Linked DNA regions of Oreochromis niloticus. The protein of the gene in region 1 purifies or fractionates together with the protein of each later gene. This does not show direct contact. Links are inferred from orthologs where the notes say so. Each region holds a gene or a part of one and is shown on either strand. Other genes may lie near its edges.

The links.
Region 2: the proteins of constitutive coactivator of PPAR-gamma-like protein 1 homolog (region 1) and rbm45 purify together in Homo sapiens (co-immunoprecipitation; 3 studies listed by BioGRID and IntAct, with this or other methods). This does not show direct contact. The link is inferred for Oreochromis niloticus from reciprocal best matches to the Homo sapiens genes FAM120A and RBM45.

Annotation. Positions count from the first base shown.
Region 1 is NC_031970.2:37,136,775-37,153,151, reverse strand, and holds the start of constitutive coactivator of PPAR-gamma-like protein 1 homolog, read right to left. Parts: upstream 6,529-16,377; 5' UTR 6,115-6,528; coding exon 5,641-6,114; intron 4,419-5,640; coding exon 4,172-4,418; intron 4,088-4,171; coding exon 4,005-4,087; intron 2,054-4,004; coding exon 1,925-2,053; intron 504-1,924; coding exon 413-503; intron 240-412; exon of another isoform or gene 48-239; coding exon of another isoform or gene 1-47. Other genes in the region: cass4 (cas scaffolding protein family member 4), read right to left, coding at 12,357-12,767, 12,905-12,985, 13,082-14,356, 15,159-15,257, 15,354-15,437, 16,094-16,377. UniProt on the Homo sapiens protein: Component of the oxidative stress-induced survival signaling. May regulate the activation of SRC family protein kinases. May act as a scaffolding protein enabling SRC family protein kinases to phosphorylate and activate PI3-kinase.
Region 2 is NC_031978.2:5,576,003-5,591,579, forward strand, and holds rbm45 (RNA-binding protein 45), read right to left. Parts: upstream 7,261-15,577; 5' UTR 7,195-7,260; coding exon 6,919-7,194; intron 6,555-6,918; coding exon 6,432-6,554; intron 6,015-6,431; coding exon 5,888-6,014; intron 5,715-5,887; coding exon 5,583-5,714; intron 5,473-5,582; coding exon 5,302-5,472; intron 4,784-5,301; coding exon 4,654-4,783; intron 3,121-4,653; coding exon 3,030-3,120; intron 2,733-3,029; coding exon 2,575-2,732; intron 2,272-2,574; coding exon 2,196-2,271; intron 2,100-2,195; coding exon 1,983-2,099; 3' UTR 1,960-1,982; intron 1,704-1,959; exon of another isoform or gene 1,467-1,703; 3' UTR 216-1,466; downstream 1-215. Other genes in the region: cytochrome c, read left to right, coding at 10,429-10,449, 10,553-10,727, 12,218-12,363. UniProt on the Homo sapiens protein: RNA-binding protein with binding specificity for poly(C). May play an important role in neural development.

The DNA.
Region 1 (16,377 bases):
GGTTCAGTCGTTCGGGCCGTTTGCTTAGGCCCAGGGTCCCGGACTGAATAGAGACCTAACTGTGTGTTCAGGGGGGGGTATGTGTGGCGGACCACCAGGTGGCTCCACTCACACCCACGTTGAAGGGAAGTGCTGGGGTGGAGATTTTGGCGCTTACTGTATGTGAAGTTCTGAGAGTCAGTTAATAAAGTTGGAGTGAGACACTGAGACCTCTCCTGTCGTTATTACATACCTCCACAGTATAATCTCCAACACAATTCTGATGTAAACTCAAGTTAAAGCAGAAACTCTGCAGTTTAATATCATAAATGATATATTAAAGTGTTGAATTTCAGCACTGCGTCTCGACAGATCAGTGCTGCTGACCCAAACTCCAAAATTTTCAGTATGGTGAGATGAGGCGAAAACCCACCCAACTGTAGAGGTAAATGTTGGGGCTGGTTGGCCACTGAGTAGTAGTCCACTGCCTTCTTGAAGCGGAAGATTTTGTCATCAGTGCAAGACTAAAAGAAACAAATGAGAGAGCAGAGTATTTCTTTGTCTAAAATAAAAAAAATCTCCAAATTCACTTTCAAACAAGCAAATTCTTTATTCCTCTTATCCTGGTGCACCTGATTTTGACCACTTTCTACTAAAACATGCAGTAAAAATAATATACATAGCTTAACTCAAATGGAATCAATCACTGCACGCTCAATAACCTGACCAGACCACATCATCATCTTCCCATTTTCCGAGCAGTCCGCTGGATCCTCTGCGACTACATATTTATCACCGCCACAGCTCAGATCTGACTCTGATCACTTATCTGTCTGTGTCGCCAAAATAAAGGAGTCAGCAGAGAGAAACTGGCCATACAACTAGATTTAATACCAAACTGAAGCCATAACTAAGAGAGACCACCTGTAAGAACCTGTTTCATAATCAATTTTCCCAAAGCTTTCTATTGTTTGTGGTGTAGTGTATGCTAAAGGAGGCACGCACATGCAGTCTAACTGCACATCTGGCAGATCAACTGATTTTATTTAGAGCACGGAAGTTCTGCATCTTCAGTCAACAGGACTACAACTCAAAACAAGCCCTCCTGAGACTGTAACATGATCTTTTTAGCTGGCTCTAGGTCCATGACCCATTCACGGCTGTTTTTTCTTGCTCAGTCAATTCAAAGTCACAAAGAATCACACTTTAACATGATGTGAACTGGATTTATTAAAGGATGATCAGGAATCGACTGTGACTGCCTGAAAATCAAAGGGATTTTTAGCTCACTGATGGGATTAAATGTCATCATTTGGAGCTTCATAATAAATGGAATCTGTTTCCCTAGAGTGTCATGTTTCATAACCACATATAAGCAAAACTTGATAAACACAGGTTCAGTCCCACATGCTTTCAAATTAGTGTTTGTGGAGCAGTTTCACTGATCCATCATCAATCAATAGAAAACAGAAGAATGATATTTCTGACTGGCGGTTTTAAATCGGAGGTTAACGTGACTGCACTAGGAGAACTGCTCATTTATCTCATCTATATCATTTCTTTTCCCACCGGGCACTGACTGTGTATGAGGAGGGCGAACTACATGAGGACAAATTTTAAACATATGAAATAATGGAGACTGCCAGTGCTACCGATCAGCTTCCAAGCAGATACACCTACGGTATGAATTTCAAAATCCTACGTTATTGCATTCACAAGATTTTCAGAAAAGGTGAGTAATAGAACTGTAGCTCTGAGGTGAAAATAAGTAAAATACAGTGTCATGCATACTGTTTTAGCTGGTCCAACCACTTACTGTAAAGCTAAATTATTTATCATATGAATTTGTAAATATCTCACTGTTTGCATTACCAAGGGTAGAGGGGATGACAGGGTGGAGCAAAACATTCAAACTTTGTTCAAAGTGCTTTTGGAAAGTTCATACCTGTGAATTCTTGAAGATGTCCTTGCCGATGGTCTCCAGGTCAGTGATGTCGGGGATGCTGCGGACATAGTCGGCCACGGCCTTGATTACAACATCACAGGGAGGAAGCACGAGCTGATGGGCACGCACCTGTGAAAGAGAGATTGTCCTGAACGCAGCCAAAACTTATATAACCCTTCAATGCATAAGAGGGAAGGTTAAGAATCAAAAGCACAAATGATCAACTGGGGCTTTAAGTCAAAAGTAAAAGTGTATTCTTCCTCTGTAAGTAATGTATTTCTGAGAAGGATTCAGGCTCAGCAGTGTTTGCTGGTTTGTGAACATGTCCAGATGTGTCTGCAATATGTCAACATCAAACTGAAATGTTGACTACTGTAACACTTGTGTACAAAAAGCTTAGATTGTGCTTTATGTTGTGCATCATTTCAGCGTAACAGCGTCAAGTGAACTTTATTCATTAGACTCTCTGGTGCCACTACAGTGAACTCACTTAAGTTGGAATTAATGAAAGTGAGGCTGGTTACATTTATGTGTCAATATAACGGGCGAAGGGGAGAACTTAGAAACTGTATTTTTATCTTTAATCATGTGCACATGCATACACGTCCACGTGAACTTGCTCAACCGCAGCACCACAAACAGAATCTGAATCTTGTGCTGTCAACTTGAGAGCATTTTGACAGCTTCATTACTATATGAAAGAGAAGTCAGACTGTTATTTGGAGCAAAGAGGCTTTGTCCGTGTCAAACTGTGCATGGACTGATTTCCAATCCTGCAAAACATGGCTCTGAAACACTCTGTGGGATCTGGACAGTCATACAGGCACCATCAGAATCAATACAACAAGCTTGGTGACAGAACAGATATAAAACTCATTAAGCACATGCCTGTTTTGAATGTGACTGTGGAATGCTCTGGATATTTCTACACAGCACTGTGGTTCCTGTGACTTTCATGGACCCGGGTATGCAGATTATGAGGTTTATCCTGGATCATATATGCGAAACGCTGTTTACACGGAAAACAGATGTTCAGGTTCTGCATGTCCTGTGTACATAATAAATACTAGTATCCTGGTTACTGTGTGATGTTAGTTTAGGCAGGTGTGATATGTCAAGAAACACAAACAAATAGGTAGATGTACCTATAATTATTACCTGAGTGCAGCTGCTGAAACTTGCTGGTACTAATACCAGGATAGCATCATAAAAGGGAGCCTAGTGTGCTTTTCCTTATGACAGCAGTGATGTTAAACAAGGCGCGTGGCTGTGGCTCAGGTGACAGAGCGGGTTGATCAATCCCTGGCTCCTCCAGTCCATGTGTTAAACCTTCCTTGGGCAAGATACTGAACCCAGAATTGCCCCTGGTGTGAGTGTAAGTGCTAGATAAAAACATTGTATGAATGCGTGTGTGACTGGGTGAATGAGACTTGTAGTAGAAGTTTTAGTTCATTTACCATTAAACATAACCAAAGTTTCAAAGCTCAGTGTATGTACAACAATCTGAGAGCCAACTTACTGGGCGGGAGACTGGACCTGGAGTCCCATTACCAAATCCAGGTTTAATAAAACCAAAAAAGAACGATTAAAGTTTGATTTTAAATAATATGATCATGTTTACATGTGCTAACAAAACAACTACATACTTCAAAAACCTTATTATAACCAGGACACAAGTCCATGCAAACACATCTACTGGTCTGAAGTGGGGGTGCGCTCAAATGGGTGATGTCACATAGTCTTTATCAGTACTCGCGTCTAACTAATAACTGGTGATTAAAATTTGGTCACAGAAGCTGACAGCTGGTCACCTGCAGACATTCCAGGGTGCAGTTGCCTAGGTAACCCCTCTATTTTCTACCAGGTCATATGTCAATCAACGATATCCGGCGCTGTTGCTGGTAGCTACTTCAATCTAGGCGTCGCTGGCGCTTACTACCATATCTTTCAATGCAAAATATGTGCACTTTTCCTTCCCATCAGTCAAGGACGTGCACTGCACGAGCAAACAAATAACCAGTAACGGTAATATTTAAGCACAAGGCCGACAAATCTCGCAGCTCTCAGAGAAAGTCCTTACCTTCAAAGATGCCAAGGGATGCTCTGGACCAAGTAAGCTCCAGTGAAAGGCAGCCAAGTCTTCATCAGGCAGTAAGTGATTCCCTGTTAAAAAGAAAACGCGTATCAGTCAGCCTCACCGGGGCAAACGCTTCCACCAACATTACTCGCTCAAACTACAACACTAACCTAAAAGCGATGCAAAAATGACAAAACGATTGGGGCTGAGATCGAGCTGCCGTGCCACTTCGTGCATCAGGTACTGGCTGGTGGTGAGGTTTTTGCCGTTGCGGCTCAGTTTGAGGATGTGGGCGTTGAAGTAGTATGGGATATTGCTCAGGGCGTAATCCGAGTCGTAAGCCACCAGACCATGGAAGCCACTCTTCCTGCATAAGGCTATCACTTCCAGGTGGTGGTCCTCCACACTCTGGACAACCTGAGGAGAGCCACAGACAAGAACTGAGCTAACGCCTCAAAACAAACCCCTTTACAGACACCAGTGTGCTAAAGCACTCAAAGAACATGCACAGGAAGAAAACTACAATCGAGGAGCACGTGCACATTTGTGTGAGCTGCTTGGGGAGTGAGCCTTGCTCATAAGTCTGTTCCTGTCCCGTATATGTTTTCACACTGGAGTTACTTATTCTTAGTTAGTTTTTATTATTTCACTGTTATCATCCCGTGGGCAGACTGAAAATTACAAATTGCAATACAAAACACAACTTGATTACTTTTTGTCATGTTACAGCCTTATTCCACTTATAATAAACATGTACCAGTAGGACTGGAGACTTCTGTCTGTATTCACTGTTACAGCAGAATCACTGTAACCACAACACTTTCACGTTCACTTTGCTGTCTGCTTTGTGGTCACGCTAGAACGGGCTACTAAAAGAAAGATCCTGTGTATGACATCTTTATTAGGATTAGTACAAATATGTGAACAGTTTAGCCAGATTGTCAACACATTACTTAGTGCAATGACTAAATAAGCTATCATTGCTCTGAAGAGCCAGAAAACTGATGACAAAAAAATAAACTGTTTTTGGTGTGTGTGTTAAAAAGAACTCACGCTGCAAGTCTTAAATGTAAGTGTGAAGTTGTGGCGTACTAAATTAATTTACCAGATTCCAACAAATCGAGCAGCTGTGTGGTGGGAATTACAGCACTGCTGAGGTGGAGGCAGAGACAATGTCAGAACTTCCTCATCTACTTTATCTCATCAGCTCATTGCTCTTCTAACTGCGCAGAATGCATCTTCACAATTGGTAGTTTTGTTTGTTTGTTTTAAGATTATTTAAACCTCAGCCATGAAGTTATGTTCTTCCAGTGAAACAGGGACTTGTTCAGTTTATGCCAAACCTGTCTGGACATCTTTTTGTTCACTCTGTTTATTTCTGTCAGTTGGGAGGACAAACAGTGATCGCTGACAGAGGATCTGAACTGGGACTCAGACCAGCAACCTGTTGGATACTAGTCAACCACGGCAGTTGCTCACCCTCACACAGCAGGTTAGAACTTGTCTAAATGTGGGAACAGCATCGCATCGTGGGTCAGGATGCCCGTGGTGACATGGTGGGCAGCTAGCAGGCTAACTCAGAGCCGGGCTGTGTCCACAGCTCAACAGGCAGGCACTGCCGGGCCGAGTTTCCACTCACCCCGACGCGGAACTTGAGGAGAGCAAGTCGGATGCAGTGGGCCATACACACGGGAGGCAGGAACCAGACTTTGGGCGGTGGGGTGCCTTTATTCTGGACGTGGCTGATGATCTGCTGAGCGGTCTGCCTCTCGTTCACCTGCCGCTTGACCCACTCGTGAAGACGGCCTTTCTCCAGGGCGCCATTGAAGCACACCAGGAGCTCAATGTTCCCGTTGAAGCAGGCCTGGGAGAGGGCGGCCAAGTAGCCCAGCATGTGGTTCCACTGGCCCCCGCAGACCCAGTCGGTGTAGAAGCCCCCGTAGAGCCGATGGAGGCAGTTCTCGGCGTCCACCAGCAACCTCAGCGGACTCTGAGGGGGTCTCTGCCGGCCACCTCCAACCAAACTCCCCCGGGCCAACCTCTGGAGGTCCACCGGCACCACCGCGTTGGGACAGTGCTTCTCAATATACTCCAGGAAACCTTGCACACCCATGTCGAGCTTCTCTTAGAAAAGAAACTTAAAAGTGACGGTAAAGAAAACTGAGTATCATAGGAAAATAAACCGGGGGAGGTTGCAGTGTGCCTCTCCCCCAGTGTGACTGACTGCTAGCTGCAGATATTACCGGAGTTGCTGTAATTACGAATGAAATCAAACACGCCTGCTATTTAAATGTGTCCGCTTTCCGGTGAGTAGTTGTTGATGTTTGTTGTGTTTATTAATTTGGTTCATGGCTTCAAGATGCCATGTGTCGCTTCACGAAGCCATGACTGCGATCCTTAGCCTGTACCGGAGGACAGCGAGAGGGAAAGCACGTGACGACATGACGCACAGGCACGTAGGCTCGAGAGGCCCACGAGAGAAGCAAGAGAGTACACTGTCGGTGCTTCGCTGTTTGTTTGTTATTATTGTTGTTATTGTTTGCCTGAATTTTTTTTTTTTTTAAATAAAAGAATCAGAAAATTAAAGACCTTTTATACAGAGACTATATATAAAACATAACTACCGTTAGCACTGGAGTTTTGTGATCAGATTTGGGCAAGAAGTGAAAAATATGGATGTGGAAGGTAGTTCTGTTTTATTTAAAAAAACAAAAAAGATGTGATATCAATCCAAATATATTGATGGCTATTTTATTTCATGACTCTGTGGCTGTTGCCACAGGCTGCAGTTTGTCTGTTTCATTATCTTGTGACTTTAGGGTAGAGATGCTATGGTAAGGTTAAAAGCTAGAAGCAGTGAGATTGGGAATCACTGTATGGCCTTAACAAAATTTCACATTTCTAAAACCTACTTATGAAATGTGTTGAGTTAAGGTGTTGAGCTGCAAAAGCTAATGGGACAGAAGCTAGCCTCGAGAACTCGCTGGCAAAGGTTGGATGTGAACTATCTTGGCAAGTTTCACTCTTTGGGTGCGAAAGCGTTCCTTCCTGATTTGTGGAGGGAGGGGGTGAGCGAGGGTGCAAAGTTGAGTCTCTGTACAATGTGCAAAAATAGTGTTCTTAATAGCAGTGTGGTAGTTTTCCATCTGCTACATGGAAACGTGTTAGAAGTAATCGAACAACCGATCTAGAAATGACAGCTATTTGAATATTCAAAGCTCATTATCGACAAGCCCACCACCGTCTCACCAGCTTGTTGTAACAATGCATTAATTAATGTGTTTATGAATGATACAACAGGTTCTAAGCCTTGTGAACTACTTGGTTTAACTTAACAGTTAACCTTGGATTTCTCCTTATCTTTCTAGATGTTTTAATGATTCGGAAATGTATAAATACAGATGTTCACAACATATCAGCTTGGTTAAGAGTGAATAAGCAGCCAAAAATATGGGAATAAAGTCATTTCCATTCAGTGTCAACAGAGGGCGGCATCCAATCAGTAACTGCACGTGTGAGTCTTTCGGTGGTTAGTACACTCTTTTTTGTCATAAACACGTATGAGAATTTCACTTGCATTTCCAAGTAAATAATACTAATTTATCTACGACAGATCTGGAAACATTTGTGAGCCCCCTCCCCCATTAGCCTCTTAACCATGTAACTAGGTGACCAGCAACAGGTTAGGGTTAGGGTCTAGGTGGCCATAATCCTAGACCCTAGAGGTCACAAAGTTAACTGGTTAACATGTGGCTCTGCTTTAGCCACATGTTAAACGGGCATTTTTTAGAATCTACACATTACATTAAAGACAGGTGCAAATACTGTAGAAAGAGGTGGTTAACCAAACTCAACCCCTGGGTTTCCAGCGACCTGGTGGATGTTAAGAGGTTTGTAATCCTGGTATTCTTTTATATTATATGTTGTAAGTTTTATAATAGAGTGAACATAAATACTTTTCCTTTTTGTTCAGCACTTTTTGATATTGACCCCACTGATTCCAGGCCTAGTCTTTTCTGTGTTTGGCTGAGACTTTTGTCTTTTCTGCATATCACAAGTCTAAAAACTATGAAGTTGTTATGTAACCCTTTGTAGCTTTTCACGTGGTCCTTTAAAATCTCACAATGTAAACTACAATCGCTCGACTTACAGTATCCTGGACGGCAAACTAAGTTTGCCAAACTAAGTCTTCAGTGTGTCTTAAGAATATGAATTGGTAGTAAAATTCAAACCATACAACAATATATTAAAACTGAAACTTGTGTTGTGACTGATATACGCCCCATTAGCAAACCTTGGGGCTGAAACTGAAGCCAGTGTCAAAGTACCAAAAACTGCAGTTCCTCTAATGGCTCCAAGAGGCTTGTTTGGAAGGGCTGCTGGGAGAAAACAACAGGACTTCAGGAACTATGGACTGCATTTACTAATATGTGCTTGGCAATGTTCCTAAACTGCACAAAAAACCAAAGTGTGAATGCAAAATTACTCTTTGATTTGGCCTATATTGTTCTTACCACCATGAATATGTTAATAAATCAGTCATTCTGAACCAATAGCCCTGTACCTGTTTATCAATTGCATACAATCTGCACAACCACAATCTGCTCTCTATGAGCAAATTCATTTACCTTCAGATGAAGCAAATAAAGGAGTGACGATGTTGTAAGACAGAAGCATGCACCTCTAAATGGAAAGCCATAGAAAGTCCTGACTGAAAAAACTGAAATAACTGTCCGAAGAGGAAGCCAGAAAAGGAACAACTTTCGAGAGTGTTTCGAGGCTCTGGTTAAAATAATGAAGGTTGTAAATACTGTTTACCCTGAAGAACTCATAGTGATGTGTGAACCTGTCTAAACTACAAGAAAAAGAAGAAACCAACACCAAGCAATGATATAAACAATGTGAATTTAAGATAAGATCAAATGAGATAAGCAATACTGGAATATCTTTAGATTGAAAAGGTTAAAGTTTGCACCCTTCCACTCCACCAGGACATCATTGGTTGATCTAGATGGTCAGAGGAACTTCTAATTTTGTTCATAAAGTACAAATCTAAACAAATGTCGGTACCTAAATATTGATAAATCACTGTTTTGTGTTCTTACACAACATTATATACTACCAGCGGTTTTAAAGGGTAAGTTCAAAATGCTGTACCCAAGCAGAAGAGTGGGTGGTAAAAGGTTAACTACTGTGCACAGTCCACAGTTAGGCAAGACAGTATACGCATCCCAAACCCAGTTCCTGTTATGTAATGACTCGGACGTCTAACAATCACTTCAGGGTGTAAAAATGTTTTTACGCTTCAGTGACAGAAATATAACAATTACGCCATTAATGGTCGTATTTCACTATAACACAAATGGAAGGAAAAGAAACTCAAAATAGATTTTTAAAATAAGGTCCAGTATTGAAGCAGCAGAGACTGAAATATCCTGATGTTTAATCTCCAGTGTGGGTTAAACTCCTGGACACCGGCTTCGACTTATCCTAAAATGCAGCCAGTCGGATTTTTTGGGACTTTGCTTGTCTGGTAAATACTCATGTCTAATTAACAAGTTTATATGGTTTTATATTTTCTTGTAGCCTCTTAGTCTTTTTTCTTATAGAAACAACTAAACTGTTCTGTTTAATTGGGCCTCCTGCTGATATTCTTTGATATTGTGTTTGACTTGTTTGTGACTGTTATGTCTGTGAAAAGCACTACATAAAAAAACTTTACTTACTACTTAACGTGAATTATAGATGATCCATGCTGTTCTAAAATTCATGATAACCACTTCAATAAAAGTTTGAATTTAAAATAACAAAACATACATCATCCAGTCATTTTCCTTATCTTATCTGAAGTCAGGTCACGGGGGCAGCAGGCAAAGCAGGGAAGCCCACAGCTCCCTCTTCCCACCTCCTCCAGCTTATCCGGAAAAACATCAAGTGGTTCCCAGGCCATCCGACAGATGCAAGCTCTTTGGCATGTCCGAGGAAATGTCCTCGGACATGCCAAAGAAACTTATCCAGGAGGTGACAGCCTCAGACGGCTCCTGTCGATGTGGAGGAGAAGCAGCTCTACCCTGAGTCGCTCCCAAATGATTGACCTCCTCACCCTATTACTAAGGGAGAGCCATGATTCAGAGAAAGCTAATTTCCATCACTTGTACCCACAATCTAATTCTATTAGTGTTAACGAAAAATGGCTGTATAACATATAGGAAATAATAATTTACTGGCTTTTGGGCATTTGTGTGCGACGAGTCGAGTTGTCCTGGCGCACTTTCTCCTGGCAACCCTTCTAAACAACCCATATGTGTCTTTATCTAACTTTAACCTTTAACATGAGGCCAGGTATGTCTGGGTGGCTTTTTCCCTTAATAAATGAAATAATTTAAAAACTGAATTTTTATTTGCTCAGGTTATCTTTGTCTAATAGTAAAATTTGGTTGATGATATGAAACACTTAAGTGTGACAAATATGCAAAAAACAAACAAAGTAACTAAGAAATCAGGAAGTGGGAAAAATTACGTTTTAATGTCAGTGTAGCTGATTTTGAGTTTGTTGCAGTTTCTCTGAGCGTTGCAGGGTCTGATTTTGAGCTGGGATGATACTTTTAGGAGGATTGTGTAACACATTCACAGAGGGGGGGAAGTAATAAAGTACAAATACTTTGTTACTGTACTTAGGTAGAATTTTCAGAATTATCTGTACTTTAGTTAAGTATTTATTCATTTCTAAACTTTTTACTTCACTCACTACATTTTTAAACAAACGTCTTTACTTTCTACTCCTCACATTTTCAAAACAAGTGTGTTACTTTAGGTTTAACACATTAGAGGGAAGTTTTTATTTGCCATCACTGCAAGTCTTCAAACATCAAAATGATTTATGACACCATTCTGAGGATTAAAGTGGATCTGGAACCTCGTTCAGAGGTGCCAGATCTTCACTCAGAGATGGAGAAAAATAAGAAAGACAGGATGGGAGAGGAAGAAGAGAGGTTAGATTTGGTAAGGGAAGGACTGCTCAGTGACATTTGATAAAGTGGAAATTTCAAGCTTACGTGTAACGTCCTGCTGTTATAAATCAGATAACAGATCTGTATATGATGTGAAGTTGTTTTTCATACTGTGAACTGTCCTGCAAAAAACAAACTGAGGCCTTACTCAGCAGTTGCATGAAAACGCTCGGCAGTTTCGTGAAGGAGTAACAGGTTAGCTTTCCGTACTGCGTACATTTTCAGTAAAGAACTGTGGTGGGCTTGTGCTCAGTGGCTGTGGTGCTCATGGTTAGAGTTATATTTGAATTTGAATTTAAGCTGATGATATGTATCACATATAAATGATATTCATGCATTTAATTTCACCTTTATACTAACTGTATACCATTAACCTTTCTGACATTTATTTCATGCTTTAAAGGGCTAATGCATGGTCGGTAAATCCCCCCAGAGTGTTTTGTTGCGTGCTTGGCCCTGCATGAATTTCTGCAGACTGAATGACAGAATACCACCGAAATTTAAAACAGAGAGAACAGAAGCTGACTAGCTTAGAGAAAGCGAGTGAAAAAAACCCAGAAGTACTGAAAAGAACATCCAGGCAAACAGGTAGAAAGAGAATACAAATCTTCCCTTCTGATCTCATGCAAAAGCATCATTTCAATACCAAGAACTAGATAACTAGCGGAACAGTTTGTAGGGCTGTAATGTTCTCATTTCCAGTCCCTTTTTTAAATCTATTTTTAAAATCTATTTTCTATAACATATTAAAAAAGCAGAAAAATAAGGTTTTCAGTTGTGTGTGTCTGTGTTTTTATTTCAATATCAACAGAACTTCAACATATGTTGTACTCAGTCTTTTGTCAAGTAAATTTTGGGAATGCATAACAATTGTTTTTTGAAATATTTACATAGATATTAACAAAAAGTAGACTGTAACAACATGCTACTCTGAGGAATATATTCCATACACAATATAGTAAAATAAACAAACAAGACAAAACAGATAAGCAACAAAAGGCAAAGAATATACATTTCCCGTAAATATAGAAAAAATACTTTATACTCTGTACTTAAAATGCATTATAACATTGGCTTAATTACAGCATCTTGAATGTGCAATTTATATTGATACTGCCTTTTAGTACAAATGCAATACCTTTTTGAAATAACCTGTGCCGCCGGCTTTTTTCTGCAGTTGTTAATATTTAAACAGCAACCTGCATTCATCAGCTAAAGCAACAGCATAGTTAGGCTCAGAAGTTGTACACTATAAGAATGATTAATAAAAGAAATAGCTACATGACTGATGAATAAAACCTTCTTCTTCACACAGATCTGTATGCTTGATACTGTAGGCTCACTCTCAGAGATCAAGCGATAGCCGAAAGTGCTGTGCTCTCTGGGCCAGCTGCGTTGCGAACTCTTGAGCTTCATGAAGAGCTTGCCTATCAGGAAAGTGCAGTGCCGCCTTCTTGGTAGCCACAGCTAGCTGCTTCAGGAGAGCGCACAGGTGGTTGCTCTTACACAGGAGACTTTGGTTAGACCCTTTACGATGGGCTTCCCTGTACAAAGTGTCTACCAGTCTCTGGCCCACCATAATCACCAGCTTACTTTGTGAGATGAATTTCTCTGGTGGCTGGTCATCCTGAAGGCTTCCCACAAATCCACCAATGGCCTTTTGGAGAGCACCAAAGTAAAGTCTACAGTGCTCTGACATGGAAGATAATTCCTTTTCTTCGGTGCCACTGCCAGAGTTGGAGGAGTGTTGCTTGGCCTGAGCAGGGGAGAAACAGAATAAAGGTAAACATGGCCGTGCCTTCTAGACTGGTTTGTCTGCTTCAGACCAGAAATCCTCTTATAAATTAAAAAAGTCTGTTGTACAGGACTGTGTCAGTTAATGAGGAGACATACCTTCGTCGTCTCTGTTGTTGGTGTGACATTCTCTTTAGGTTCCTTCTGCACTTCCCGCTGTTTGTTTTCGTCTTCCTTAGTCTGAGGAAAATTCAAAGGCAACATATTAATAAGTATGCAGCATGGGTTTCTTGTGGCTAAAAAGTCATATTATGACAGAGGAACAGAAGTTGATACCTGCAGCTCTACGTAATCATTGTCATCCTCAGCTAAGTCCCCTTCTTGTTTGGTTTTGTCAGGACATTTTTTTTCTGGAGGATCCGTGGTGTTTACAGACTCTTGATCTCGCTGAGGCGTTCGGAACAGAAGCTTGCCGTTGGCGTTGATGATAGATACTAGGCGCTTTATATCGTCTGGAATAGTTCTTGCCACCATAACAAAGCGCTCCAATTGGTCAGGTGTCTGGACCTTCCCCGGTTCCTGACTGAGCTTGTTTAGAGGCCATTTGGCTGCATTCAGATTACTCACTGTTTGTTGTAAAATCACACCTGAATCCTCTACGATGGAGAGCTGTTTACAGAGCCTGGTCTGCAGGTTGGCATCAGTCAAACGACGAGCATTTCCTTTAACATCTAGGGCAAAGTTTAGGAAGCATGTCAGAGAACATACAATCAACTCGGCTGCTTCTTTGATCTCCTTGAGATGTTTCTCCAGATGTCCCTTACACCTCCAATGACTGCTGACAAAGTCCATGAGTTTGGGCACAGCTTCACAAACAGACTCCTGCAAGTCCAGCAGTTTGCGGCACGCCTCATCCTGACTGAGTGTTACTTCTCGCAGAAGCTCAGGGGAAGAGGAGCTCAGGGCCAGAGAGTCACAGGAGCTGTTGGAAGAGCTGGAGGCTGTGCTGATTCTTTGATTATCTGCTGCAGGCAGATGTTGGTTTCGACCTTGCTCATCTTCACGCAATGCAGTTTCCCCACTTTCTTGAATGCCGTGAAAGGTTGTACAGACCAGAAAGTTCCTCATCCGCTGCAGACGCACTCTTTGGAGTTCAAAATCATTGCTTGAGTTACCCCTGCATTCTAGGGGTTTTTGATCATTGGGCTGATCGGTGACACCTTGGATGAGGAGTTCTTCCTTGGCTGGAACCACATATACAGACTCTTCTGTAGGCTTCAGGGATGGCAGTTTGTTGTAAACGTTTGGTGTAATTTGGATATCAGGAGATTTTGGTTTGGGTATATCATAAAGCAGTATAGGTGGACTTTCTTTTCGATGTGCTGGAAGAGTGTCATACATCTGCCTGGAAACTGATTTGCAGGACAAGTTATCAGAGATGCCATGACTTTGTTTCTCAGGTCCCACTGGCACATCATAGATCCACTCAGGTTTGCGAGGGCTGGGAAGGGTGTTGTATCCATCTATCATTTTGATTCGGGATTCTGTGGCTGATGGAATGGGGATGTCATAATTTGGGTCCTGAGAAGGGGGTGGTGGGCCTGGATACACCTGTGAACAAGAACAAAGTTGTTCAACACTTAAGTGATTCTACAAGTCCTACATCTGTTTTGCGTGAAACCTGACAGTTGAGTTAGTGCCCTGGGACTTTTGGTTCCCAAACCCAATCCAATGAAGCATCTTCTGGATGTGCAGGAACAAACCTGACTCATAAAGGCCCAAATTAGCACTTCATCGACCCCAAAAGATCTGCTGCTAACATCCCAGTGCCATAAGTCAGATCTATGTCCTTACCCTAATAATCAGCAGTATTTTGTTAGACAAAAGACTAACAGGCAGGTTAATTTTGATGTCTTGACTGATTTTCTATATTTAAAAATACTAACAGACCACATTTATAAAAGGCACCAATCCTTGCTTCATTAACCTCTTAACATCTGCCATGCTAGTTTTGTTTTGGCCAAATGCCAATGTTACAAAATGTTAGATTTCAAAAGAAATCTTCATACATGTTTACGTCTGGTTTTTTTTGGTAAAAGGCTTCATGTTCCAAACAGGTAAAAATTTTATAAAAAGGATGGAAATCAACCAAATCTAAACCATATCAACCGTTGAAAGATATTAAGAAATGAATGACTTGGTAGAGAAATTTACGGAAGAGGATTAGGGCCACTGGAAAAACAAAGTGGGCACGTCTTTTGTCCCCTTTTCCAGAATTCTGACTTTAATCTCAGAATCCTGACCTTTTTTTTTCAGAATTCTGGAAAAGAAAAAAAAGACGTGCCCACTTTTTTTCTCAGTGGCGCTAATCCTCTTCTGTAGAAATGAATCCTCTAAAACATCTGAAACTTACATAAGAGTCTTCTGGACTGCTACACCTTAAAGTTTCAGGAGAGTTAAGGCCCTTCTCCAGAACTTGCTTTCGTGGCATTGGTGTAGGAGGCGTTGTATTCTGCGAATAGCACAATAAAAAGAAAATGAAGCTGTCGGACCAAAGCCCACTCAAATAGTATCATCTAAAGTTATCTTGACTTTGATACATTCTTACATTGTAAAGGGAAGCTCTTTTTGGTTGGTTCGGCACATCGTACACCTTCCCATTTGGACTGGATGCTGTACTGAAGGATGAACGCTGCAGACAAAACAGTCAGGCTGTAATACTGGAGTTGACTGGCAGCATTTGCTCTGCTTTGATCAAAGCCACTTTTCCCCCACTGACACATGCGTTAACACGTTTATGGGGACAGTGTTTGCTCTGAAGCCTGTTGAAAGTGCTATTATTCATACACCTTGCCAATTAATGCAGCTCTGTAATGAAAACCATGCTGTTCAATGACAATTAAGTAGCTACTGTAGAGAGAAACAGGACTTCCCTGGAGCAGGAGAGGAAATGGTGAACATGCGGGAATATATCCCCCCTCCTTCTGCTGCAGAAGCAGCCGTACAGACACTTCTGTTTTTCTGGGGTCCCTGTCAGCATGGGCTGCTGTTTGCAGTTAAAAGTGTCTGAAGTCTGTGTCTGTTTGGCTTTTACAGGCCCATAAAGACCCCAGTGCTGCATGCCTGTCCCCATGGAGAGGCCCCTGGTCTCCATCTGCAAGCTCTTTTGTCAGCAGGGGTTTCATTTCTGCAACATTTCTACCTCTCTAATCATGAGCATTAACACTTCCTAAGAAGCATGAATGACTTTGACCTTGGACAAACAGACTGGCTATCAGCTACAACGAGCTCCTTTCCAAAAACTACAAAAAAATTATTTTCTAAATATAGAAAAAAAACTACTTGTACCTTGTTTGCTTCGGCTCCTGCTGTGCTGGGCATAAATCCTGGTGCTTCTGGACCTTTTGAAGCCAATAAGTGAGCAGAGGGGACCTTGTAGATCATGTCCATGCGTTCATAAGCAGGACTGGTGGTGGTTCTGGGGATGCTGGGTGTCTGGTAGATATTTTGCACGCTGTCATCAGTTTTACCATGAGTTAACCTGGGCATTTCATGCACTGCTGGTGTCACGATCTGCGGTAAGAGCTTTAGTCTGTTTGCAGGTGCCAGGCCATGTCGTCCATACAGAGAGC
Region 2 (15,577 bases), on another chromosome or scaffold:
GAGACACTGCAGGACAAAGACAAGTACAACAGAAGGAAATGGAGCCACCTAGTATCCAGATGGCCACCATCACATTTTTTTTTTTTTTTTAAAGTACAAACTGAATGCATGACCTTTTAATTTAGCAAGCCCCTTAGCATAACAGGTGAAAGGACAGGAGATGCTTTTATAATTTATTTTTATTATTTTTAAAAGAAGAGATGAGACAGACTGAATATGTTCAACTATATTTTTATTGACAAAAAAAGAAAAAGGTTCACAGTCATTCAAATAACCACCTTTTAACTGAGCCCAGCACAGGCTACAGAGCATACCATCAGACAAATAAGGAGGACCAGATCTGAACTACAAACTGTCCACATCCAAAGCCTGTTTTTCACAGCTTATCAGTAAACTGCAGCCTCCTGCCTGCAGCTTTTCATAAAGTAAAATGCTGCACACTGCCATGAGACTTCTCACGTCAGCGTTTCTTAAATAATCTGTTAAATCAAAGAGCAGTGTCGAGGCTGAAATTTTGCACTTAGAAAGCACGAAAGTATGACACTGACCACAAACTACACATGCTGCTATTCACAGACTGTTCACGATTAAGACTTCAGTTTATTAGTGTTATAACACTGGAGCGTCCTATCAGTGAGTCGCTGCAAGGTCACTGACCGGGAGTAAGGTCAGACAGGTGTCAAAGGTCGTGTCAGAGGTCGGGAGAAGGTCTTGATATCGGTCTGTCAGGTCAGGTGTCATTGTGTCATGGCAACAGTCGCCTGGGGAACAAGAAGCTGCAGTGTTATTCACAGGAAGAGAAACGACTGTCATCAGAAACTTGTTGACATCTTGTTAGTGTCGCTTTCGTGACTCATGAGGAGAGAGCTTCACAGGAGTGCACAGGTGGGTGACGTGAAGGAGCTCTCACACAGTTTATTTAAGTTGCAAATAAATCATAAAGGGCCTTCGCTGTGAGTAACATTGAGGTTAAATATTCTAAACTCTAATAACCTGCAATGGAAGTGGAGTAGGGGTGCAAAGCTTTATGTGTAATGATATAACTTTATAATGATTAATAAATACTCTTTTACTACCTTGAATTCTTTTAGCTTATAATCAGGCTTTGAAAGCCTTCGACACAATTTGAAGACCCCACTCTGATCTGTGTTTTTTTGCTTTACTGACCAGACGTAGTATTGCAAGGACACTTATGTACAACACATGCTGTGACATTGCTAATAGATCAGGAAAAATCCAGAAAGTTGGTGTTTCCTAGTGTTTTATTTCATAAATACTTTGTTGTACGTGTAGCACTTCCTAACGTTTTCTTTTTGCACGTCTACCTGCCTCCATGATACCACCTGTTGGATCAGACATCACAGCACTGCAGCACTTCCTTCCTTGTGAACTGATGAAGTAGCACTGGTCCTTTGTAGTTGGTTAGCCTGCCTACACACTGAGCCTTTCTTGTCCCTGAACAGACCCTGACAGGTGATGTAGAGAGCCAAGAGTGTGCATCTTCACAGTTACGCTTGTTTCCCACTACGCTGCTGAAATTTGAACTCCCAGATTACTTCAAGCCATCACCTCACACTGTCACTGATCCTTTCCCTTTTTGTACTTATTGTGTTTATATGCTTCATATTTGCTCTTTTGTCAACGTTTGTTAAGAGCGTCTTTACTTTGTGGTCAGTCAACAAATATACCCGAAGCATCTGACACTAGAGCACAAACACACACACACACACACACACACACACACACACACACACACACACACACACAGAGGTGTTGGATTAAATAAATCAGAAGTCCTAATCAAGAATATAAGAAATTATTCTCGTCAGCAGTGTGTCTGATATTTTCTGAAACAAACATGTAAACAGACGAATTACGTGTACAGTGTACATATATTGTTGCCAAAATACTTCCAATTGCACATAATGGTGAGCCTGCAGCAGAAGACTGCACACTTACCATTGGTTCGTGTCATGTAGGCTTCAGTAGGTACGAGGACGTTTATGAGATTCCTCTCTGGGAGGATCAGCCAGCATCACCTTCATCTTTACCCCGTTAACGACGCGTCCGTGGAGCGCTGCCATGGCCTCGTCTGCGCACTGACAGAGATGAACACAGAGATGAAGAAGAGTTTGAAGTTTAATTCTATTCCTTCATTACTAAACCTACAAGTTCATCCTCAATCTGAGTTTTACCTGTTTATCTGCATACTTCATGTATCCAACTTTTCTCCCTGGAACCAAGTGGACTTCAATGAGGGAGCCAAAGCGACTAGACAGACAGACACAGGGAGGCACAGACGAACAAATAACATTTAATTGTAAAGCAGGAACATTTTCTAATTCTGGCTGTTTGGTTTAATAGCAGCTTTACTCTGTTATTTAAGAGCACTTAGCCTGATGTTATCATCCACAGCAGTTTGCACTGATTGAGCCAAGAGTCGTGATCAAGCAGACCTTTAACCGTCCCGGTAATGCACTGAGTTTTTTTTTACTGTTTTGTGACAGCATGTGTATTTAACTCATCAGCATTTTCTGAAAACGTAGTGATTGAGTCAGACCACAGGGCACTTACCAAAAAACATCCTCCAACACATCGGGGGGCAGCGGGGAGGGGCTGAACACGACAAACAGCCGCTCCTTGGTTTTGCTGTCAGGCGGAGCGAGCTTCTTCAGTGACGGCAGGTTGGCGTCGGTCTGAATTCGAGAAACTGATGAGACAACAGAGAAGCCCTGGTACATACCAAGACAGAGAACACAGGATCAGTCATTTTAATGACACATACTGTTCAAACACTGCATATCCCTCAGAAAAGGAAATTCTAGGTTTGGTCTGTTGAACTACTTTTAATCTTTATGTGAGCACAGATTTTTAAAAGATAAGCTAATAAGAATTAAAATATAGCTTTTTTAGAAATGTTCTTATTGTCATTGTTAAAAAAAACATCTGAAATGTAAATAAAATGTGCAGAGTAACAAGACGATGACCTGACACAATTTTGTAAATCAGATGTTGAATTAATGACTCACAGGTTTCATCACTTGGCTGCTGGATGGTCCGTTCCAGACCGCTGACATCATCTGTGCTGCAACAAACTGCATGGCCATCCGACCTACAGGACTGCACACAACAGCAAACATACAGGCTGTTTCCAGCTGTGGACACGGAGGGAAAATTAAGTCTACCTCAAGCACCCAGCACAGAGGTGCACTTCTCGCTTGTAGGGCTTCGTCCACATGTCATAGCTAAATAAAATCACAAGGGGGCAGTGTTAAAAATCTGTGCAGCAACTATTATGAGAGCTACTCTTTTTCATGTTTGTGACATTAAAGACAGAAGGTGCAAAAGAACTTATTCTTAGTGAAGTGACACTGAGTGTTTAAAACACGGTGTACTGTGTAGTAGTGCATGCTACTTTAATCGCTGATGGCTTTTTGTGCTTCTTCTTGTATTGCACTGTATTCTACTGATGTGTAATTTTCATATTCAAGCCAACTTGAACAGGAAAGGAGACACCGGTCCTACATCGCGTAGTCAGAGACGCTGAGGCATAGCATTTTGAGAAACAGCAGGGGGATGACAGCTGAGCATCTCAGCCCCAGTTCACTGTCACTATATAGTCCACAAGCACCAAATTTAAAATCCGGGGGGGGTTGAAAACGATGTGCCGGGAGTCCGCTGTTGAGTTTTGGACGAAATGCATTCTGGGATATTTAGCTGTACCAAGTCCACACCGATGCATGCTCGATAAAACGGGCGGAGCGAGAACACATCCGGGACTTTTTCGCGTTCTCGGCTTGATGCGTACTTCGAATTGGAACAGTACTTGGTCTCCGACTGATGACGTATCACAAGAACGCAAGTACGCACAAGTACGCATATTGAGAAATGCCCCAGAAGCCTGGTAATGAACTAATCATTTGATTCAGGTATGTTGACCCAGGGTGATATCTAAAACCTGCAGGACACCGGCCCTCGAGGCCTGGAGTTTGACACCCCTGTTCTAACTTTTTTAAAAACTTGTACTAAAGCTTGATTTAGACTTCAGCGTGAAATCTACATCCTAACTAACCAGAAACTCCTTTTATTCCTACACCGCAAGCTTCGGCAACCACACCATTCAAGCCGTTGTAGTACGCGCTGACCCGACGCGTAGTTACATTTTCTTGGGAGGTGCACGTCTGGTTACGTAAAATGTTGTGGCGTAAGATTAAAATGGGCTTCTGGTTATGGCACAAGTTACGGCGTAGATCTGACACAGAAGTATAACTCAAGAACGTCCGCCTGCTCTTCTGATGTCTTTTACTAGAGAGAGTGTGAAGTTCATGAATATTGTGAATGTGTATCGCTAACAGCTTTGAGATCACGTAAAATTTAAAAAGGCAGTCACGGCACTCTGAAAAAACACTGCCCGGTCACTGCAACCCACAGGGGACAACATTCACCCGTGAATATTTAACAACAAATAAAACATGGCCAAGAAGGCGTGCAGACAAGGTCACAGTTAATTATCAGTGGCATTTTCATTCCTATTTTTTAATTTATGGATATATTAACTTTAAAGGGTGTTTCTTCTCTGAGGCTCCAGTAATTTGTGACCCTTTTGCAGGCTCAAAGTTAAACATATACTGTTGTGTAGTTATGTGTGTATACCTGCCGCGGTCCTCGCCGTCGTCAACAAAATTTACAGCCAGTCTGTTTCCAGGTGGATATTCAAAGCCGTTTAGCTTTTCTCGGGCATAAAGTGCTGACCCAAGATTGCTGTAGCGAATCAAAGCATGGCCTGGAGGCAGGTGACACACAGCAAAGAAAAGGTCTGAGTGGAATATTTTACAGTCATCAAAACAGAATGGACCACATCAACATCCACAGAGAACAGAGACTGCAAACTAGAGTAAAGCTGATGTAGTGTGTAAAATAATCAGCAGCTCCATCCAGTTTTTCAAATGTGAAGGTTTGCTCCTTTTAGCCATCTCATGCAATCAAAAATAGAATCTCTTTAGTCACTCTCTGTCACACTAAGAAAACATTCATGATTAAAATCTTGTCACATTTGTAGATGATTAAACCCATAACATTGGTGGCTCTAAGTTCTGTAAGAGTTTACTTTGAGGTTACTGTTCCCAACAATCTGCTCAGTGTTTAGTGATTCCTTGGCCCAACAGGTCAAGTTGGACAGTTACCGTCCCTGAGCCTCATTCTGCAGATGGTTCGTTTTAAAAGGGTTTTTTTCTCCTCACTGCAACAGATTCTGACTGGTGTAACATGTTGGAGGTATATAAATAACATTGAACTGTTAACCTTTGTTCATTCCATAGGCATCCCTCTGCAGCTCGCAGTACTCCATGCCAGGTATAATGTCAAACAGAGAAAAAATCTGCTCCTGATTGAGTGCAACCCGCGTGGACACCATGAGACAGCGTGTGAAATCACCGTGGCGGTAATCTATGACTGTGTAGTTCCCAGGGTCGCCTAAACAGGGAAGAAGGACACCAGGGTCAGTACCAAGACAGAGGATAATACTAAGACCTTTACCCTTTCCTTTCTGTGGTAGTAAATTCTGATGACAAAGAAACTCGTACCCAATGAGAACGCATACTGGTTCATGGATTCAGAGCCGCCAGTATAATCATTTCTGGCTGCTGCTCCTCCAGAGCTGTAATCTTCTGTTGCTGTTGATTTGCTTCGAGGTTCAGCCAGGATGGCCCTGTAGGCTAATAACACCATTTCCACAGCTTTAAATCATAAACATGCCCTTTACTAAGTGTTAACTGAAGTGAGAAGTCACCACAGCTGTAACCGTTCACCAACCACTCTGTACATTTGATGTTCATACTGCTGCTTCTACCAGGATTAATGAACAAGTAAATGAGTTTGGCAGACCTACCTTTGTCGCAGTTCTCTATGGCGAGGGCAGCTTGGGAGGGTTTGTAGTATCTTACGTAGCCGAGGCCTTTACTTTCTCCTGTAAACTTGTTTTTGATAATCACACAATACTCAATATCCCCATACTCCTGCAAAACAGAAAACAGAAAGAATCTAAATGAGCATTTAGGAGTGTCAGCGAGTTCTAGAGAGGCTGAAATAAGATGGTCTAAAAGAACACACTATATACACTAAGCATAAGTGGTCTGTATATAGTTAAAGTATGATTTTTTGTTCTTACTTAACACACGTTTATGTATGTTCCTGTTATTTTTAGGCCATTTGATAGACAAATATAAATATATTTAGATTATAGCAAAATACTTTAATCACAGTCCTGGTGCAGGTTCTTTGATAGATGGCCAAAACCTCTTTGGGTGAGCACACAAATATTTTTTATAAAGGAAACACAATACTGACATTAAACAATCAACGCAATTTCCGTTAGACACATAAAAAACACAGGCAAGCAAAGAGCTGCGAAGCCATAAAAGAAGAAGTATTACTTTGAATGTTTCTTTGAGGTCCTCTTCTGAGAAGGATTTGGGGATCATGACAAAAATCCTGGTCAGCTCCTCATCCTCAACATCTCTGTGTCTCGTTGATGACCGTGACTGGGCTATAAACACCTGAAGAGCCAACATTTCCAAACAAAGAGACACAAATGATGCATTATAATAGCGGAAGATACACGTTAATTGTATATTTTCGAAGAGGAATCGCAACTATGATTTTTTCTTATGTAAAGTTAAGAATAAGATTTATCCCTAGCCATGAATATTCCATGTTTTGTCTTCTCAGTTCCAAATATTTAAAATTTAAACAGCATTTTGCACATAAGAGTGAGATTGTAGATAATTGAGGTTATGTGAACTGAAAGCAGCTAGCGATCACGCCCCTTTAGCATGCTAGCTATACGCAAATTATAAATCGACAGTCTGAACTGAAGCTGACAAAATATAATCTTTTTGGAGACCTAACCATTGACATTACCTTAACAGGTTTAGTCCCTTCCACCAGGACTTTGCCATGCATTTCTTCCATGGCCAAGCAGGCCTGAGAAGACTTGGCAAACTTTACGTAGGCAATGCCTTTGGACTCCTTTGTCTGCTTGTCTTTGACAACCCAGACCCCCTGAATGTCTCCAAACACGTAGAAGCTTTCCCGCAACTCATCTTCGGTGATGGACCGACTCGTCACCACGAACAGTCGGCTGTTGGGAGGGTCGTCGAGGTTTTCGGGCACTTGTTTGGAGGGATACTCCTCCATCTTCGCTTCCCTGTAAACACAGCAGTGTTGCTTGCAGTTGTTAGTGCTGCCTTCAGGTGCTCCACGGCATTTGTTAAGTAAATTATAACGGCTCTTGTTATTTACGTGTTTATTTACGTGGTTTGAAAAAAAAACTTTTGGAAAAGTAATTTCCTTCATTAACATTATTTAGATTGAGACTTTTAAAAATTCACGACTTAGCGCTTGTAGTAGTCATTTGCAAGCATTTGATAATTTAAATATTTAGAAAAAGTTATGAATCAGAGAAGCAATGAGATTGAATCGTGCATAGAGAATGCTTATAAGGCAGGAGATTAAATGTTGTTTTAGTACTTTTGTTTTAAATCTTGAAATATTTAGAAAGTGAATTGCTTTGTTCGCTGTCAAATGAGAACTTTAGTGAATTAATTGTAGAAATTCCGACAGTCTTAAAGGCATCCGCGGAGCTGATGACACGTATTTGCGTTTACTGCCCTCTGCAGCACAGGAAGGAGAAATGCAGGTGTTACAAAATACCCTGGTCTTACGAAAAGATGCTGCAGAGAGGTTTTGTAACTAACACGTTAATTAACATGAGTAATGGGACTTATCACCAAACCAGAACACCTGATGGCTTATTAATCCTATTAATCGTGTTCTATAAATACCTGACACAGGATTACACTCTTAGACAACATCAGGTATCAGCTGTGAAATAGTTACCTGAGCTCTCGTTCTGTCTGCCTCTGTGTGTGTTTGTTTAAAGAAATAAGAGGGAACTAGCCCTTCGTTAGAGATGAGAGAGTTAGTCACATTCGTGCTGGGGACAGACGACCAGAAAAGTTGTAAGATTATATCTATAATGGCAGACCATGATTTTTAAATAAAACACGTGCTGTTAAAAATATGATGTGCTGTAAGGGTAGATTATTAATTTTGAAAGCATCCTAGTTTGCATGTGTGTGTGTGCGCGCGCGCTCGTGTATTTTTAGGTGCTTACAGGTCACGTGCTGAATGACCCTTCTGAGCACAAACGTTTAGATTTTATAGCCGCTTTCTGTCATAATAGTATTCCCGTTTCATATGTTGTGAATGATGCTCGCTATATGTCTTTGTGTTTAGTAAAACAAGTCTTTTCTACTATCCTGGGGACACATAGTGTCACCTTGAGAAAACACTCAAGGCTCAGCACTTAACCTTTTTATTTTATTTTTTTCATTTTCTGTCTTTCATGTTTAATATAAATATCATTTAGCCACATAAATTTCACTTTGCGAGTGAGGCTTCATTTTGGGATAAGGATGTAGAGTGCAAAAGGCAATGTAAGAAACTACAGATAAGTAGAAGACATAAAAAGAAGACAATCTATTTTATTTAATAATTTGTAAACATTATGCACACGTTTTCTATTGGTAATTGGTTTGTGGAGACTACATGTACTTAAGAGTATACGTTCATTGAGTGACTTATTAAATTACGTGTCAGTTTTGTTAAATTAAAAGGCTATCTTTTGTTACCAAGTTAAACGCGGAGTACTTTCGGTTGCCAAAATCATTCATGAAACTTCTCCAGAAAAGCAGGTTCCCTTTGCCCTATAATGGCTCTGGAGGGAATGCGACAAGATTCTTGGGGCCTGTACTAAAACTCCCTTTCGTTTTCTTGCTCTCAGCCTCGTCGCCTCGCGTGTACACACATAACAAAACTTGCTGCGTTCTTGGTAAAACCTTACATATAGACACGATATGAGTGTTTTCTGTGTTTAAATTGTATTTTTTTTTTCATACAAATTAAACGACTTCTTTATATAAAATTAAAGCTATGACAGGGATGAGGCTACATCAGTTTATAGAAATGATACTACACCGACACGTAATGGTTAAGCGGTAATCTCGCGGCACATGATTGGCTGTGATGACGTCGAAAGCCGGTGCCTCTAAAGTGAAGTGACCTTCTTTGCGACCGTCACAAACCGCTTGTCGGCCGAGGCTGAGCCGGTTACTTACCTACAGCAGAGTATTTTTAACCCGACATCTTCTCATCAAAGGTAAAATTTCATACTTTATAAATTTATTTACAGGAGAATCGAGGTTCTATTATAAGTAACAGGATATGAGCCGCAACAGTAGCATGTAGCGGGAGTTAGCGCCCACGTTGGTGAATAGCCCGGTTGTGCTCTCATTGCGTAGTCCGTTATGGGGGAATAATAAGGTAATTTAAACGTTATAGCCATTTTACTTGAGCTCTTGTGTGATTTGGGAACACATTTGGGCAACACAGCAGCTTTGAAGTGCAATTTTCGTACGCCGACATTGAAGCATCCTTGACAGCCCCGGTGGGCGACCCATACCCGGCTTGTCGTACTACTAGCACGATGGTTGACCCAAGCTGAGTTCAGGTTGAGCTTGAGTCAGCGATTCGAAACGTCAAAATCGGGCGAAAATGCCACATAGACCGCGAATACATGTTGATACATGTTGGTAAATGGTGTACGTCCTTGATATTACGTGAGGAGGATGCCATTCAGCCGGCTGCCGCCATGTTGGAGGCTACGCGTCTATTGTAAATGGCATACGATGTAGTGCGGTTCGTCTCTTAAGAACTAGAATGAGAAAATTAGCCGTTATATTATGTAACTCAAAAAACTAACCGTATAATGATGGTTGATGTGTAATATATGTAAGATTTGTAGGCAGTTTTAATGAAAAAGGGGGCGGTAGAGGATTTTTGGGGACCGGGGTCATGTTAGTGGTGTTGCACTAAAATGTTTCCCCCAGTGATGATAGACCATCATTTTTAATCTTTAAAGTAGAAGCGACTTTATGGCAGAAACACCGGCCGGATCTCTGCCACAGGTGCTTTAGTAATTACAGCACGTTTTCCGCTAAGCACATTAACCTTGACTCCCCTCGGTAAACCTTCTGCCTCATGGCGCAAGATCATTAAAAAGGTCTTCCTTTACTCGCCAAACCTGGCAACCTTTCCCCCCTGGAGTAACTCGAGCTGAGGCCCTTCGTGGCTAGCCCAACGTGTTTTAAGGGCGGTGTAGTTTCGGCTTCCTGCACTGCTTTTCTGTCAGCTTTCCGGGTAATCTCGGCGTCGTGCCAGCGCACAGGGCAATGCGATCACTTACCTGAATGCATTGTAAAGTTAGAGCCGGCGATAAGAGATGGTCAAAGTTATGGAGTTGTCTCCTTAAGTGACCTTCACAAAATGGCGCTGGGGTCAAATTAGAGCTTTGAGCTTCCTAACTGGGCTATGAATAGAAGACAGTCTGATGTATTTAAAGAGCCCTTCATAATTCTGTATACTTTTACTTTTGCTTTTTAAACTGCATTTTCATCTCATTCTATTCTTTTTCCTGTTGCCTTTGTTTCTCCAGTCAACTATGGGAGACGCTGAAAAGGGAAAGAAGGTTTTTGTCCAGAAGTGTGCTCAGTGCCACACGGTAGAGCAGGGTGGCAAGCATAAGGTGGGCCCCAACCTCTGGGGTCTGTTCGGAAGGAAGACCGGACAAGCAGAAGGCTTCACTTATACAGACGCCAACAAGAGCAAAGGTCAGTTCACTGGGTCTCTGAGTAGAGTATAAATACCTTTGTATGCTAGATGTAGATCACCAAAGAAGGGAGATTGGCATTGTCTGAAATCTGGGAATTTTTCTGGAAATTGCCTCACTTGAATAAGTGTGTAGTTTATGTTCACAAACTTTTTTCTTTTTTAAATTCAGAAGTCTTTAAAGGGCTGTTTCATGTTTATATATTGTATCAGTAGCTTACAAGCAAAATATTTTTTCTTTTTTTAACCTTTTTTTTAATTTTAAAAAAGGCAAAGGCTTCCCATTTAAGCATCTATATTAAAAGTAGTTAAACTCCCCCCCCCCACCCTTTTTTTTTTTTTTTTTTTTTTTGTAAGGCTTTAAAAGTCTCATATCCTCCTCCGTTTTCACATTTTAAGTCTTGCAGGTTCCCAGAATGCATTTTTGTTTTCAGCTCAAATCACACACAGTTTGTACCTGCAGGTGGTTTTTCTCACTCTTGAAGTGAAGTTAATAAAATGGTCTCCTGTCGCCCTTTTTGGAAGAGTGCCATGTCTTTCTTGCCACTGCCTTGGATGCTCTGATGGGGGGGAAAAAAGAAAAGAGAAAAAGGAAATCCAAAACAACATAACGACCTGCTGAGGTTGTCATGTTATGCAGTGCACATTGACTATAATGGTGTTGGATTACTTGAACATTTCTTTCACATTTTGCAAATGACAAAGCCATTTTAGGTTTCATAAAAGGTCACATGGCACTCTTTCACTGTGCACACAGGCCTAACGATCCCTGTGTCATCCTCACCATTTGTTTTCTCTATAAATCCTGCTGAAGCTGGGGGCCAACACGCTCAAAGTCCTTTGTGTAAAACTGTCCTCGTGTGGCGTTTTTCCTTCCTTCTGTAACTTTCCTCTCCCAACTTCAAACTCAAGAAGGGGCAGGTCTGTGATATCAGTCAAGATAATGGTAGATGCGATAAAGACGTGTTCTTGTAGCTTAGCAACGGTCAGCTCTTGAGAGAAGTACTCTTAAAGGTTATGGGTGTTTTCAAGGACAAAAGGACAGATCTTTAAAATTTCCGCTATTGTCTCAGTGTGACTGTTTTGACATCGCAGGCTGCTGACACTAACAAATATCCTGTATTTGTGGTGAAGCAGTATGTCATCTGACAAGCCATCAGATACTTTTGGAGTACACAAACAGTTTGTACAATAAAATGTTCAATTGCTACAAGACTGTTTAGAGTTGTAACAAGTCTCTAGTGAGATTCATTCAGAAGAAGGCAAATGAGTATGAGGTGTTAGGTGACATTTATTTTCACCTCAGTTAATTAGTTTTGAGTCTAAACTAGACTTATAAATGGTAGCTTTAATTCCTTTTTTTAAAAGATTGTATACAAGCTAAATGCTTTTTATTAATGCGGCCTCTTTAAAGCCACACATGAAACTATAGTCGCTGATACTTGATGTCACCCGCTTGCTACTTGACTCATCGATGACCATTTTCCCTCAGGTATCATTTGGAGTGAGGACACCTTGATGGAGTACCTGGAGAACCCCAAGAAGTACATTCCTGGAACCAAAATGATCTTTGCTGGCATCAAAAAGAAGGGAGAGCGCCAAGACCTCATTGCATACCTCAAGTCAGCAACATCATGAAAAGATCACTGAGATCACAATATTTAATGTAATTTTAATGTTTTTCTCTGCCAATACACATTAAATATGATTTTATGTTTCTTCATTTGAACAGAAGGTTAATGTATATTCTCAGACTGGTGTTTGCTGTAAGTTTCACTTCCTGTTAAGGTCAGATGAGTTTTGAGCAGCTGTTCAAGTGAACAAACATAAAATCACAGTCCTGTTTTCATTGAGTCTGTACGAGTACATACTAATCACATTATTTAAAAAAGCTCTGGGGAGGATGGCTCGTCTCTCATTCTTTTCCATGACAACATGTGTCTGGTACTTTCTGCTAACAGAGTTATCACCATATACTTTATATTCATAACAATGAATAATAAAATTCATCTAATATCAGCTACATGAAAGTGAAAGGGCGATGAAGCCTGTGTGGAGTTTTGGTGGTAAACTGGTGCTGATTTTGAATCTGCCCTCAGCATTCATATTCAAGTTGTGAGTGTCTGACCTTTGCACAAATGTGATTAAAGACTTCCACCTGCTGTGAATGCTCTTAGTTTGTTGTGGACTGAATTTGGGAAATACCGCTGTTGTTAACACTCCCGAAACTGCTCCTCCAAGCTCCTGTTTTTACCCCCTGCCTGTCATCAGGCTCCTTAGAAGTTTTTTAAAGATTTCTTGCTAAAGGTGATGTATTTATCTGTCTCCTTACAGCCAAGAATTGTGGGATTGTATAAATATTACATTGATACCTTGAAAGCCACCACCATGCTGAGGTACAGTGTGAAACCAGCTGGCATACAAGCATCACGAGCTAATATTGTGGAGTGACTTTATAATGTAGGGAAACTATTACGGGCACCATCTGGACTGAAGGAAGATGTTATTTACCTGGTTTCACAGGCAGGACAGAGTTGGTTTAATTTCTTTTACTGTAATCAGTGTTTGACTGTAATGTGGTAGGTGTATGTTGTTACAGACAAGATGGTTAAGGATCAATTAAAAGAAAACGTCCAGACATGTGAAAACGACTCTTCATTTCATGGTGTTTGCAGGAGCTGACAGCTTGTCCCTGCAGCCGGGTCATGTTCTGCTCTTTTAAAATTCCCTCCAGAGTAAAGGCAATAAACATCACTGGTCTTATCAAACCAGTAATTTTTATTAAAGATAAGACCAGACTAATTTCACAGTCGCCTCTCAGCTGATTTGTTAAACAAATATGAAGCCAAGCGTGACCCTAAATGTGGATTTGACATTTTTGTGTTCAGTTTATCTGAAAGTGAGTTAAAGACGCCGTGGTGAGCAAATATGTGTAAATTTTGTATTATCAGTGTAGTAAGGTACATTTGCTACTGTAATAACACTATTTGGAGTCTTGTTTCCTGTCTAAAAAAAAAAATAGACAGCAGATTAGGTATGAATATATCCACTTAAAGTAACTTTTTGTGTGCACTCCGTGTCTCTTTAAAGAGAGTTGAACTCTCAGTCATACCCAGAGGGCCGCTCGTGCCGGTAAGGTGTCAGTTTACTGCTCATGAAGTCATTCTAGAAAGACAGTCAGCTGATGGCAGCCCAGGCCTTGCTTTACCTCTGGATCAAAGATCAATTAAGAGCAGAGACATGACTGGATTTGTCTTCAAACAGTGTGTCTGTATGCTGCCTGGAGACAGAAGGCTGAGTAAATTTTGTGTTTGAACTCTTAGGTTGTAAACTCATTACATTATTTAAGGATCTAGTTCATGGAAAATCTAATTAGAAGAGCCATTTTCTTTGCCCGCCTTACACCTCTCCATAAACTATGTTGGTTTTGAAAGAGAAGCTGGGACACCCAGGACAGGTTGATGAGGATTTGGAGACACCTGCTGGTGTATCATAAAATGCCTTTTATGATACTTCATTGTTCATTGTTGAAAGATAGAGGGGCATAATGTTCTGAACCTCAGATGGAAATAAGGTAAGGCAGAAAAGACCAAGCCTCTGAGAGGCTGATAGGTTCAATTTAATGTCACAATAAACTTACACATCTTTAAAAAACAAATAAATGAAAAGCACAAAAGTGATAAAAAGACACTAATTCATCATCAATTCAGGACAGTCATGCTGATAAAAAAAACTCATTGTAAGGGAGCAGTGATGTGTGAGGGGCAGAGTAGGCAAAGGACTAACAGGGACATGTGTACTGTTCAAAAAGTGTTTTTTATTTTATCCACAAATATGAAAAACAATCATATCAAAAAACAAAGAAAATAAGTTGTTCTAAGAAATAAGTGGGCTCCTAAAGGAGCTAGCAAAACCCCCCAAAACAAACCACAATGCATAACAGACTGTAAAAGAAACAGCCTTAATAATAGAATAGTATGTAGCTAAATAAAATAGAATTCATCATCAATATACTTTGAGGTTGTATTATATTTTACAGGGCCCACCAGGGGAAGCACCAGAACTCACTTAAATTCTGTTTCCATGGCACCAACATAACGCCACTGCAGCCACCTCAAGGTTCTTTGTGTTGTAATGTAAAGATCCTGCAATGTTAGATAATGAGACAATCCTTTACGAGCAGCACTCGCCATGGTGGGAAGGAAAAACAATTTTTTATTAGGAAGAAACCTCTGGCAGAACCAGGCTTAGGGAGGGAGCAGCCATCTTCACAACTAGTTGGGGGCCGAGGGGGAAGAAAATACAAAAAATGAGACACAGATAGACAAGAACACAATGCAAACTGTGAGGCAGAGTGAATAACATGCAGTACTAGCACATAAAGACATGGGGAGTAGAGAAGAAGTGCGTAGTACATGATGGCAAGTCCTCCAGCAGCCTATCTAATCGGTGGTCAGAGTCACTTAATTCAGCTGTAACTATAAATTTTATCAAAAGGAAACCTAAGGAATCTGGTTCCACAGAAGAACTGAAGATTCTTGCTTTTGGAAACTCTAGGAAGCACGAAGTAAGCCCACAGTCTGAGAGCAATGTGCTCCATTGGAATAATATAGTACAGTGAGATGGTTAAGATAGATGAAATACAGGAATGGGGTCTAATACTGACGTCAGTAGGAGAGAAGCAGTCTTAAGTAATTTTTTTTTCTCTAGTTGTTATAAGTTTATTAGCAAGAAATTCAACAACAGTTTTTAAACTGGTCAATGAAAATACACCAACCGTTTAGCCTTTGAGCCATTCCAGATATACTCCACTGCTCTTTAGATGCTCTCCACTTTAAATGATTGGCTGGAT